Linked DNA regions of Macaca mulatta. The protein of the gene in region 2 interacts with the protein of the main gene of each other region in a biochemical or structural test. Links are inferred from orthologs where the notes say so. Each region holds a gene or a part of one and is shown on either strand. Other genes may lie near its edges. The genes, in order: NCOA6, THRB and TBL1X.

Region 1 (3,651 bases), on a different chromosome or scaffold from region 2:
AGTCAAATATAGCAGGTTCCTATTTTTCACATTCAGTCTGGGGTTCCCACATTAAGAAAATCATAATTTCTGCAAAAGCCTGTTGATGTCAGGGCTATGACATGGATGCCTTTTATCTTTAAAATCAGCCCACCAGACAGTAAATACCAAAGAGGACAGCATAGACAATACAGCAGCCTCTCAAAGGTAACAGTTAAGGGCATGGCTGCTACAGAGTCTAGAAGCTGGAGGCAGCAGTCCAAAAGGCACTAATGATAAGACAGATTGGGGTTGATGTGACAGAATGGTGAAGAGGGAAAGCCAGGACACACACAGTGCCCATAACACAATCACAAACCAAATTTATTACTCAGGGAATGCAAACTCCTATGCCTTTAGGGGTCAGGCAGGTAGTAGAGAATAGAAGTGGACTGGTATAAGATAGCAAGAGTCCTGTCAACAATGCCAAACTGCAGAGCAGATGCCCTCTTTAAAGGCATTTAAATTCAGACTTTTGTTTAAGACACTGCATAGCAACTCAAACCCATTATAGGCCAAATTCAGCCTGCAGGTCCCCAGTTTGCAGAAAGAAGGCAATAAATGTATACAAAGACACCCTGGGATTCATATAATATAGAAGAGTTGCCTCAGATGTGTCTGAGGCAAGAAGGCATGTTCCTGTTCTCAATGCCTTCTGGACATATTCCCCAAAGACTGATGACCACCCAGTCTCAGCTATGCCGCTGCATCTCACTGATGGGAAGTGTGATATGCCCAAACAATTTGTAATAAATAACACAAAATATTGATATAATGATGGATTTAGCTTTTTGTTTGGATTCACTTTTAAAATACATAAATCAGGGGTAGATTAAAGTTTATTCCTAAAATAATGTCACTCTCATTTTCATGCCAAAAAGGAGCTGAAATAACTAGTGAGGAAGAAACAAAACATACCCTCTGTACATACAGGAGAGAGTAGCCTAAGTGTGAAGGGTTGTGCATTCTCAACCGTGTCATAGGGGAATAAAGTTACAAGTCATTGCTCAGGCCAAGATAACTAGGTTTAGAGATATTGTGGCAGCTGGCTTTGGTTCTATAATATCCATGTTTGAATGAATTAGTTTTAGGAGCTTTTCCATTGTTGACATAATTTTTCAACATTTAAAGGATAGTATTATTTTATAATCAGAGAGGGTACAACAAAGGGGACTTCCAATATTGGTCCTATTTATTATAAATTATTAACCTACGTGGCAGAAAAATGGGTGTCTCTTTTCTTTATATCTTTTTTATATTTTAAAGACTCAATAATGAAACTTCTATAAAAAAGATCACCTTGTTTTAAACCCTGGTAGTTCCCTGCTTTGAAAAAGCCCCAGGAAGAAACGCTGCAGGAAAGGCAGGTAAGCAGGATTAGAGTGAAATCATCTCTCCATTTAATCTTATCCTGTTCTGATGCCAACTAGAACCTTGACATTGACAAGAATAAAGAGGCACTTCACATTTCAGGGTTTTTTTTTTTTTTTTGAGACAGGGTCTCACCCCTGTAGCCCAGGCTGGAGTGCAGTGGCATGATCATGGCTCACTGCAACTTCAATTTCCTGGGCTCAGGTGATACTCCCACCTCAGCCTCCTGAGTAGTTGGGACTGTAGGTGTGTGTCACCATACCCGGCTAATTTAAAAAAAATTTTTGTAGAGACAAAGTTTCACCATGTTGCCCAGGCTGGTCTTGAACACTTGGGCTCAAGCAATCTGCTCACCTTGGCCTCCCAACGTGCTGGGATTACAGGTGGATGAGCCATCGTGCCCAACCCCATTTCAGTCCGATTTTATGAGGACTTAAAATAACAAAGACAAATTTGAATAGAATGTGTGTATGTGCCTTCAAAAGTTATATCTGAAATTTTTACTCAATACCAAGGCGAGACACATTAAATCACTGAAGTAGACTAGTTAGCAGATAAAATACTATTGTTTCCTCGAAGACAATGAAGCCTTGTAATGCCACATGCACATGTGATAAGTGTATAATCTAGCTAACATTTTATCACCTGGTGGCCGGTTTGAAAATTCTGGCAGTTTAGGGCCTGAGTTATCCAAGTTAATTCCTTGTTCTCCAGGCAATGGTGGCTGATCAGCCTCTTCCAGACCAGCTGGGCGAGTATCTGGGGTGCTAAAAAAAAAAAAAAAAAAAAAAAAAAAAAAGTAACATATTTTAGAATAAGTTGCATAGAAAATACACAAAACTAGCTTAACCCTTCCTCTATTTCTGAAGAACTAAAATGTTTGTATTACCATTATTCATCTCTCTCTAGTGTGGATAAAACATTAAATATTGGCATAAAAATAATCTGGCAATTTCATTAAATGTTAAAATCCACTTAATTTAACAGCACTGTATTTACTCAAAATGCTTTCCACAAATTCCTGATGCAATAATTTTCATGTAACCACCCATTCCTTAGATGTTTTTAAGACTTGATCATAGGGCTATCAATGTTATAAGATATTATTCCTGTGAAACCACACTATCTCCAATGTAGCGATCAAATTCAACTACAGGGTCTGATTGTTTCTTTTTTGTGGATATAACAGTGGGGGCTCAATTCATAACACCTTGCAAAAGGGTGTATAGGTTGGCTGATGGAAATGGTGTTCAGAGAACAAATAAAGATTGAGACCACCATAACAAAAATTTTGCTGCAGAATGTGCAGACATCTCTATTGGCTTTGAGATGCCTTCACTTTTACCTGGGTGTAGCTTAAAATTTTCAGTGGGGAAGAAAAAAATGAAGAAAATGTAGCTACTAACATCCACATTCTCAAAGAACAAGACAGATCATGGGCCTCATTTTGTTTGTAATCTCAGTACTAATTGTACTTTTCTTTTCTATCTTTAGTTTCCCTTTGCCCTGATTTTGTTCACCCACTTTTAGGTAGTGTTTTGTCTCACTCTACTGTGTACAGTTTCATAAGCCACCAAAATCCATTTTAAAAGCCCCCTAGCACATGGAAATTTAGAACCTGAAGCAGATCTTTAGCACATCCAGACCCCCGTAACAATTTGCTCCTTGTAAAACTTCTCTCACTTTAAATTACAGGCAAAGATTCAGTGGTAACCCTTACTTTCAGAAAATTGTAGAGCTAAGAAATCTCAAATATCTGGTCCAGCCCCCTCATGTTTTTTTTTTTTTGAGACGGAGTCTCGCTCTGTCGCCTAGGCTGGAGTGCAGTGGTGCGATCTCAGCTTACTGCAAGCTCTGCCTCCTGGCTTCACGCCATTCTCCTGCCTCAGCCTCCCAAGTAGCTGGGACTACAGGCGCCTGCCACCTCGCCCGGCTAGTTTTTTTGTGTTTTTTAGTAGAGACGGGGTTTCACTGGGTTAGCCAGGATGGTCTCGATCTCCTGACCTCGTGATCTGCCCGTCTCGGCCTCCCAAAGTGAAGGGATTACAGGCGTGAGCCACCATGCCCCGCCTGCCCCCTCATGTTATGAATGAGAAAACAAAGGCCCAAAAAGGTGTGTGAAACAGGCCCAAGATTTCACAGTGAACTAGTGGTAGAGCTGGAAGCAGGTACTTTTCCTGTAAACCCACTGTCTCCCTTTCCTAGGAGTCCTGATGCTGTATAAGGTCGCTTTCACAATTTGCAGACCTAAGTAAGCAATTT
Region 2 (4,147 bases):
CTGAGCACATACTTCTAAAAGCCTGAACCACAGGACAATTATACCAATAACATTTCATCATAATAATATATTTTTAAACATACTGGCATATTCTTTTTTGTTCTCTTTCCATCCTTTCCTTCCTTTTTTCTCCCTCTTTTCCCTTCTCCCTTGGTTCCTTCCTTCCTTTTTCCTTTCAGAAGACATTGTGCTCACACTCCCCCCCTTTCTTCTTCCTTCTCTCTCTCTTGCTCAGCATTATTCTCCTCCCCCACCACATGCTACAGTTCAGACTCTACATTTAATTGTCAACTCACCTGATGCTCCTAGATTCTAAATAACCTACACTGCAAATTAACATCCTCTCTTGAATTATGGCAATGTTATCCAAACCGGATCTCCCCAGAAGGTGGTTTATCAACTCTCTCTTCTACTTAATAACCCTCAATGACTTCCCACCAGGTACAAGCTAAAGTCCTACTCTTCAGCCGCACATACAAGACCCCCACACCCAGCCCCAAGTACCACCTTCCACCAGTCCTATTCCTAACTTCAGTCTCCACAGCACACCTTAAAGCACCTCCCACCCCTCGGCACACTTGACACCTCCCACACAAGCTCTGCCTTATCACGACTCAGAACTGCCCTGTCTGTTCACTCCTTTTCATGAAGGCTGAGCCTGTATTTCAGGCAGAAGCCCTTCCCTAACGTCCTCAGTCAAAGTTAGTGAATTTCCTCCTCAGGTTAACATTGCATTACAAACATTTATTACTATCTGTCTCCCCAAATAGGTTAAGAGTTTCTGGGGCAAAGGTGTCACTGACTCACCCACCAGGCAGTTGCTCAACAAAGGTTCGCTGAATGAACTTTGTTCCTTTGAGTTTATCCTGTATATTTTATTTTTATTTTTTATTTTATTTTTTTTTTTTTTTGAGACGGAGTCTTGCTCTGTCGCCCAGGCTGGAGTGCAGTGGCCGGATCTCAGCTCACTGCAAGCTCCGCCTCCCGGGTTTACGCCATTCTCCTGCCTCAGCCTCCCGAGTAGCTGGGACTACAGGCGCCCGCCACCTCGCCCGGCTAGTTTTTTGTATTTTTTAGTAGAGACGGGGTTTCACCCTGTTAGCCAGGATGGTCTCGATCTCCCGACCTCGTGATCCGCCCGTCTCGGCCTCCCAAAGTGCTGGGATTACAGGCTTGAGCCACCGCGCCCGGCCGATCCTGTATATTTTATAAGTAAAAGGAAGCAACATAGTATGGTGTCTACAAATATGAGCGTGTGAGTTCAAATTCCACCTGTGGCTTGAGCAGGTTATTTAATATCTTGGTGCCTCAGTTTCCCCATATGTGGAAACTTTCCAACTCTAGGGTGCTTGTGAGAAGTAAACAAGTTGCTACGTAGCTGGAATACTGCAAGGAAAATCAAAAGAGGTGCATGCTACCTGAGTGTTTGTTAAATATAATGGAGGTAATTATGATACCCCATGGCTGCCTCTGTTGTGCTCAGGGCAGAAGGTTCCCGACACCATCAGGACTGGTTTAATTTCAACAAGCTGATCTTTTATTAGAAATGTAAGTGTCTGCCTTACTCCTCCAATCAAAAGAGAGATGCTAACACCAAGAACATTACTCAATTCCATAAGAAGACTAAAAGTGGGCTTATGCCACACTCAGAGCCATTGCACTGGCTAGGGTGTTGGGTCTGGAAGGCATATAAAACACAACACAACACAACAAAACAAAAACCTAGTTAAGAAACTATAATTCAATTCTTAGACTATCATATATGGGAAAATTCACATTGGTTCTAAACTGCTAAATAGAAAATATGTCTGTATTCACAAAAAGAGATAGAAGTCTAACTTCAGCCAGGTACAGTGGCTCATGCCTGTAATCCTAGCATTTTGAGACGCCAAGGTGGGCAGACTGCTTAAACCCAGTAGTTCAAGAACAGCCTGGGAAACATGGCAAAATCTCCTCTCTACTAAAAATGCAAAAAGTTAGCCAGGTATGGTGGTGTGCGCCTGGAGTCCCAGCTACCTGGGAGACCGAGGGGGGAGGATCACCTGACCCTCAGGAAGTCAGGGATGCAGTGAGCTATGATGGTACTCTACCTTGTCTCAAAAAAGAATGAACGAATGAATGAACGAGAAGGAAGGAAGGAAGGAAGGAAGGAAGGGGCCTAACTTCAAACAATTTAGCTTCAAAAAGTGAGTAGAAGCCAAAATTCAGTGTTCAGAGATAGTCAAAAGGAAGTATTGATTCTTTTTGTTTGCAGGTAAACCAAAAGGGAGATTCTCTGGGTTGAAATTCTGCAAAATATATTTTCACTTAAGTACACCCTTCATAATGAGCCCTGTACGCATCCTGGTTATATCTTTTGCAAGTGCCTCCTGCGTGTGCCTTATGCTCCAGCTGTACCAACAACCTTCGAGAAACCTGTGCAGAAGCTCACCTTCACACCTTTGCTTGGTAGCTGCCTTGCCTGGGATGCCCCCCTTCTCGCTGTAACACTCACTCAGGTGACCACTTTTCCTGGGAAGACTTTTTCTTGCTCTCTTCAAGGACCTTTGCTCCAAGCCCCCTGAAAATACATGCACATTTTGCAAAGCATTTATCACACTGCATGACAACTGTATGTTCACTTTCCCACCCCCTCATTAGACAGTGAGTCTTTCAAAAGAGAGATGGACTGTGTCTATCTCCCTGTTGCTTTCTCAATGCCCAGCACAGTGCCTGGAACAAAGTATGTGCTCAATAAATGCTCACTGGATATTATTGGACAGGATTCCCTGTGTATGTAGAAGCAAATTCATTGCCAAATACCTATGGTAGCAATGTTGGGTCCTCCTCTGTGCATTGTTTACCAAGGCCATGCCATGGGGATACCACACTAGGGATGTGGCTGAGGAATTTTCACATCTGACTAAGCTGAGATGATTGTACAATTATACATCACTTCTCTCTGGAAAGAGAAATAGTTAGGATTCCTTAAAAGGGTTAGTAATCCCTTAAAAACCATTGCACGTACAGTAGCCTGAACCAATAATTTAAAAGCTTCTACATGACATTCAATGTTTATGACTCACTTATATTAGGTGAAAATGCAAAGGAGTATGCATCTTAAAGCTACAATGAGAGACTATTACATATCCACTATAATGACTAAAATTTAAAAAGACCAGCATTATCAAGTATTGTAGAAGATATGGAGCAACTGAACTCTCTTACACTGTTGGGGGCACTGTAAATTTCTATAACCACTTCGGAAAGCTGATTGAAAGTTTTTAATAAAATTAAACATATATCTACCCTATAGCCTAGCAAATCCTTCCCGAGATTTATATCCAAGAGAAATGCATATGTCCACCAAAAGACAGTCCCAAACTGGAAACAACCCAGTTTTCTGTAACACAAGAAAATGAATAAACATACTATGGTATATCCATGTACTCAATACTACTCTGCAATAAAAAAAAATACTGACATATGTAACAACAGGTATGAATCTTACAAATGTTATATTGAGCAAAAAAATGTCAAATACAAAGAATGTGTATTATGTAATATGTAAAAGAAGCTCAATAACAGATAAAAACATTTATCAATGGTGATGAAATTCAGAAAAGTGGTAACCCTGGTATGGGGCAGGCAGTGACAGAGAGGGGCACGGGCAACCTTCAGGGTTGCTGGAAATGTTTTGTATGTTCTTCTAAGTGGTAGTTACTTGGGTATACAACTACATAAAAAAGTGGAGCCTTATATGCTTTAGCACATGCATGTTATAGCATACTAAACAGTTTTCATAAACTCGATGGACAGATCCCCTAGACGAGCAGAAGGGACAAAACACCCCATCACTCATATAAAATTCAGAGAATGGGTCATATACCCCCTTGTTTGTTCAGGGAAAAAGATCATCACTGAGAAAAAGCTGACACGTGTTCCAATGGAGCTGGCATGGTTGTGGAGCACAGCATTATGGCAAACTCAGTGTATTCAAACAACTGAGGGCAAGGACATCCACTGCTCTGGATGTCACACCTGTAGCATAACTCCCTTTTGGGGATGAGTGGACATCTCAGCTGTACTCTCTATTATGGGAGTCTAGCAACAGAGGCCCTTCTCAGTCATATACTTTCAGTCAAGTCATTGCTTTGGGTGCCACTTT
Region 3 (3,651 bases), on a different chromosome or scaffold from region 2:
CCGGGCTCGTCAGCCGCAGCATGGGTGACAATTGTGGCCACCCTATGCACGGTAGGAGGTTTAGCAGCATTGCTAAGCTCCACCCACGAGATGCCAGTGGCATCCCCATCTAAGCACAGTCATGTGCCACATAATGACGTTTCCAGCAACAATGCACCGCACAGAAAGCAGTGGTCCTGTAAGACTGTAACTCTTATTCCTGCTGAACCTTTTCTATGTTTAGATAGATCTAGACGCACAAATGCTTACCATTGTGTTCTAGTTGCCTACGGTATTCAGTATGGCCACCTGCCGTCCAGGTTTGTAGCCTGGGAGCAATAGGCTCTACCATACAGCCTAGGTGTGTGACAGGTATTGTCATCTAGGTTTGTGTCAGTCACTCTGTGATGTTCAGACCAAGATAAAAGTGCCTAATGACACATTTCCCAAAATGTTCCCATCATTAAGCGACACATGACTGTAGTGACAACCTCAAATGGCTCCAGATATTGTCTAATGTCCTCAGAGGTGCAGAATCACCCTGGTTGAGAACCAACAATTTGACTGAGAAAATGTTGACTAGAAGGACATTCTGGAAGGGACAAGGAGAAGGCCATTCCCAGATGTGGTACCAACTCAGATGGGATCCAGCCCAGAAGCTTCCTCTGGCACTGGGCTAGGCCCTTCAGGACACGAACGCTGCATATGCCCTCGAAGCTCACTTCGGCATCAGCCGCCCCCAACACCCCACTCTCCAGCAAACCAGAGGTGTTGCTTACAGAGCCGTCGGACGCGCTGGCGCCCACTTTGTCTCCTCGGGCGTTCCAGCACACTTCGAAGATGCCGCCAGTGCCTCGGTAGCTGTGGACGAGATTTCCACTCTGCAAAGCAAAGCAGCTGTCACTTACAATGATGCAAGGGGCGCCTGCGACAGATGCAGTTGTACAATGTGTGCTCCTCCTGCCCTGGTGTTTGGTCATGAACATTTTCAAGCACGGTAAAATTTAAGGGTTTTCAGTAAGGACTCTGGGGGCTGTGGAGATGTTATCTCTAGGACTTCCCACCACAGGGAGTAAACCTGATTACTTATGCCTGTGGAATCTGCCACCACATGTGCGTGGATTCTGAGGTTGCGCCCAGCTGAGGACTGACGGAGGCAGGAGACCATGGCAGTCATCTGCTGAGACTCAGACTCATCTGGTGGATAAGTGGCTCATGGACTCTCCATCAGCATGGCCAAAACTTTCTACTGACCTGTAGGGCCATCCCTGACTCTTCCTACCCTTCCCGTCTCCTTCCCAGGGTCAGACTGGCCTTATGGTCTGAATTCTTCCTTCCCCCTACCTCCCTCCCTGTTTCCATCACAGCTCCTCAATAAATCTCTTGCCCATCTCATCCTGTTTTGGTGTCTGTTCCTTGGAGGACCTCAATGAATACAACGTAGTGAATACCCCCACCCCAGTAGCAATGAAATTGACTATAATTCACGATTACATGTATTAATACGCCAAGATGTTAAAATGTACCTATTTTGGGACATTTGAAAGAACAAATGCATAATATACATGTAATGGAAAACACCACAGACCATTGGTTTCTGGTTTAAAACAGCATTAACGTGACAAATCTAAGAGGTAGGGGAAGTAGAGGCCTTTGAAAGAGTTGAATAAGGCCAGGCGAGGTAGCTGACCCTGTAATCCCAGCACTTTGGGAGGCCGAGGCAGGAGGACTGATTCAGCCCAAGAGTTCAAGACCAGCCTGGGCAACACAGAGAGACTTCGTCTCTACAAAAATTAATTTTAAAAAATAAAAAAGAGAGAAAGAGTCGAATAAGCCTTCACTCATGATTCACTAATGGTGACAGGCAGGAGAAATCTGAGGACTGAGACCAGGAGGGCTGTTGCAAATCCTCTGCTCAACTGGGCTCCTTAAAGCGTGGTGTTCCATGAACTGAGAAAGGTGTATGTCAGCAGTATTATAGATAAGTATTTTTATATTTGGAGAAAGATTAAAGTGGGCTTTAAGATTTCTCTTAAGAAAAATCCTAAGGATTTCTTGGCTGGGCACGGTGGCTCATGCCTGTAATCCCAGCACTTTAGGAGGCCGAGGTGGGTGGATCACCTGGGGTCAGGAGTTCAACACCAACATGGTGAGACCCCGTTTGTACTAAAAATACAAAAGTTAGCCGGGTGTGCTAGTGTGCGCCTGTAATCCCAGCTACTTGGGAGGCTGAGGCAGGAGAATTGCTCAAACCTGGGAGGCGGAGGTTGCAGTGAGCCAAGATGGCGCCACTGTACTAAAGCCTGGGTGACAAGAGTGAAACTCCGATCCAAAAAAAAAGAAAAATCCTAAGGATTTCTTTGATTTATAAAAAAGGGTTGAAACAATTCAGTGAGTTCTTGGTAACAGGCTGTACCTAACTGATCATGTCATTTTTTTTTGGATAATTGATGTGTTGTTTTTACAAATCCATCCATTACTATTTCTAGCAAGGATTTCATGACAAGAGACTCTTGCACACTAGTCCTGAGATGTGCGCTTCCCGGAGGGCTATCTAGGGCTGTGGGGCTGGGCTTGGCATCGGGTTGGCTCTACGCAGGGTCCACCATTTCCTTTCCTTCTCTGAGAGGATGTGGTTCACATGAGGTCCCTGGGAAGCCTGTGATCTCAGTGGACCACTTGCCAGTGAACAGGGCTCATCACCCATGAGTCCACAGGGGGAATGAACTTGAGGATGTAAATCCAGCTGAATGTCAACCAAGCCAAAAGGAACCAAGAAGGCAGTGCAGATGAAAGGGGACGGGGGCAGGCTGTGTGATTCCTCCCTCCTGAGGCAAAAGGGACCCCTTCATTGTTTTCAACAGCTCCTAGCGTATCATCACCTGTCTGTCTTCCCTTAGAATAGAATCAAGTGCTGATGGCCCTCTATAATCTTTTACGCTATGCAGTGCTACTTCCCATCCATTTCTACACTTTACAGCTTGAATTCTTCTATCCTCAGGTGTGACCCAAGATACCCACAGCAGCCACCTTTATTTAAATCCTATGTCCTTTCAATCTCTGCTAAAAGGACAACCCAATATTGACATACCTTATGTCCTTAAACAGAACCTACTTTGATTTGAAAAATCGAGGTTGAGCGCAGTGGCTCACACCTGTAATCCCAGCGCTTTGGGAGGCCAAGGTGGGCGGATCACCTGAGGCCAGGAGTTCAAGACCATCCTGGCCAACATGTGAAACCCTGTCTCTACTAAAAATACAAAATTTAGCCAGATATGATGGCGGGTGCCTGTAATTCCAGCTACTCGGGAGGCTGAGGCAGAAGAATCGCTTGAATCTGGGAGGCAGAGGTTGCAGTGAGCCAAGATCGCGCTACTGCACTCCAGCCTGGTTAACAGAGTGAGACTCCGTTTCAAAACAAAACAAAACAAACAACAACAACAACAACAAGAAAACAAAACAGAAAAGAAAAATAGAAATGCCATGACAACAGCAAGCGCACATTGCTTCCCACTCCCTGGTCTGCTCCGTGGGGGAGCTGCAGGAGCTGGTGCGGGCAGAGGAGGTGGAGCTGGCCTCGACCCCATTAGCTGGTCCCCCACTCCCACCCTCCAGCCTCAGTATCTAGAGAGCAGCGTTTCAGTGATAACTGCTAAGAAGAGGAAGAGGCAG

What was found.
Region 1: the proteins of THRB (region 2) and NCOA6 form a complex in vitro, tested with the Homo sapiens proteins (2 studies listed by BioGRID). The link is inferred for Macaca mulatta from reciprocal best matches to the Homo sapiens genes THRB and NCOA6.
Region 3: the proteins of THRB (region 2) and TBL1X form a complex in vitro, tested with the Homo sapiens proteins (2 studies listed by BioGRID). The link is inferred for Macaca mulatta from reciprocal best matches to the Homo sapiens genes THRB and TBL1X.

What each region holds. Positions count from the first base shown.
Region 1 is NC_133415.1:87,532,318-87,535,968, forward strand, and holds part of NCOA6 (nuclear receptor coactivator 6), read right to left. Parts: intron 2,157-3,651; coding exon 2,035-2,156; intron 1-2,034. UniProt on the Homo sapiens protein: Nuclear receptor coactivator that directly binds nuclear receptors and stimulates the transcriptional activities in a hormone-dependent fashion. Coactivates expression in an agonist- and AF2-dependent manner.
Region 2 is NC_133407.1:24,163,997-24,168,143, reverse strand, and holds the start of THRB (thyroid hormone receptor beta), read right to left. Parts: upstream 2,942-4,147; 5' UTR 2,837-2,941; coding exon 2,803-2,836; intron 2,561-2,802; coding exon 2,432-2,560; intron 1-2,431.
Region 3 is NC_133426.1:9,264,108-9,267,758, reverse strand, and holds part of TBL1X (F-box-like/WD repeat-containing protein TBL1X), read right to left. Parts: intron 861-3,651; coding exon 759-860; intron 1-758. UniProt on the Homo sapiens protein: F-box-like protein involved in the recruitment of the ubiquitin/19S proteasome complex to nuclear receptor-regulated transcription units. Plays an essential role in transcription activation mediated by nuclear receptors.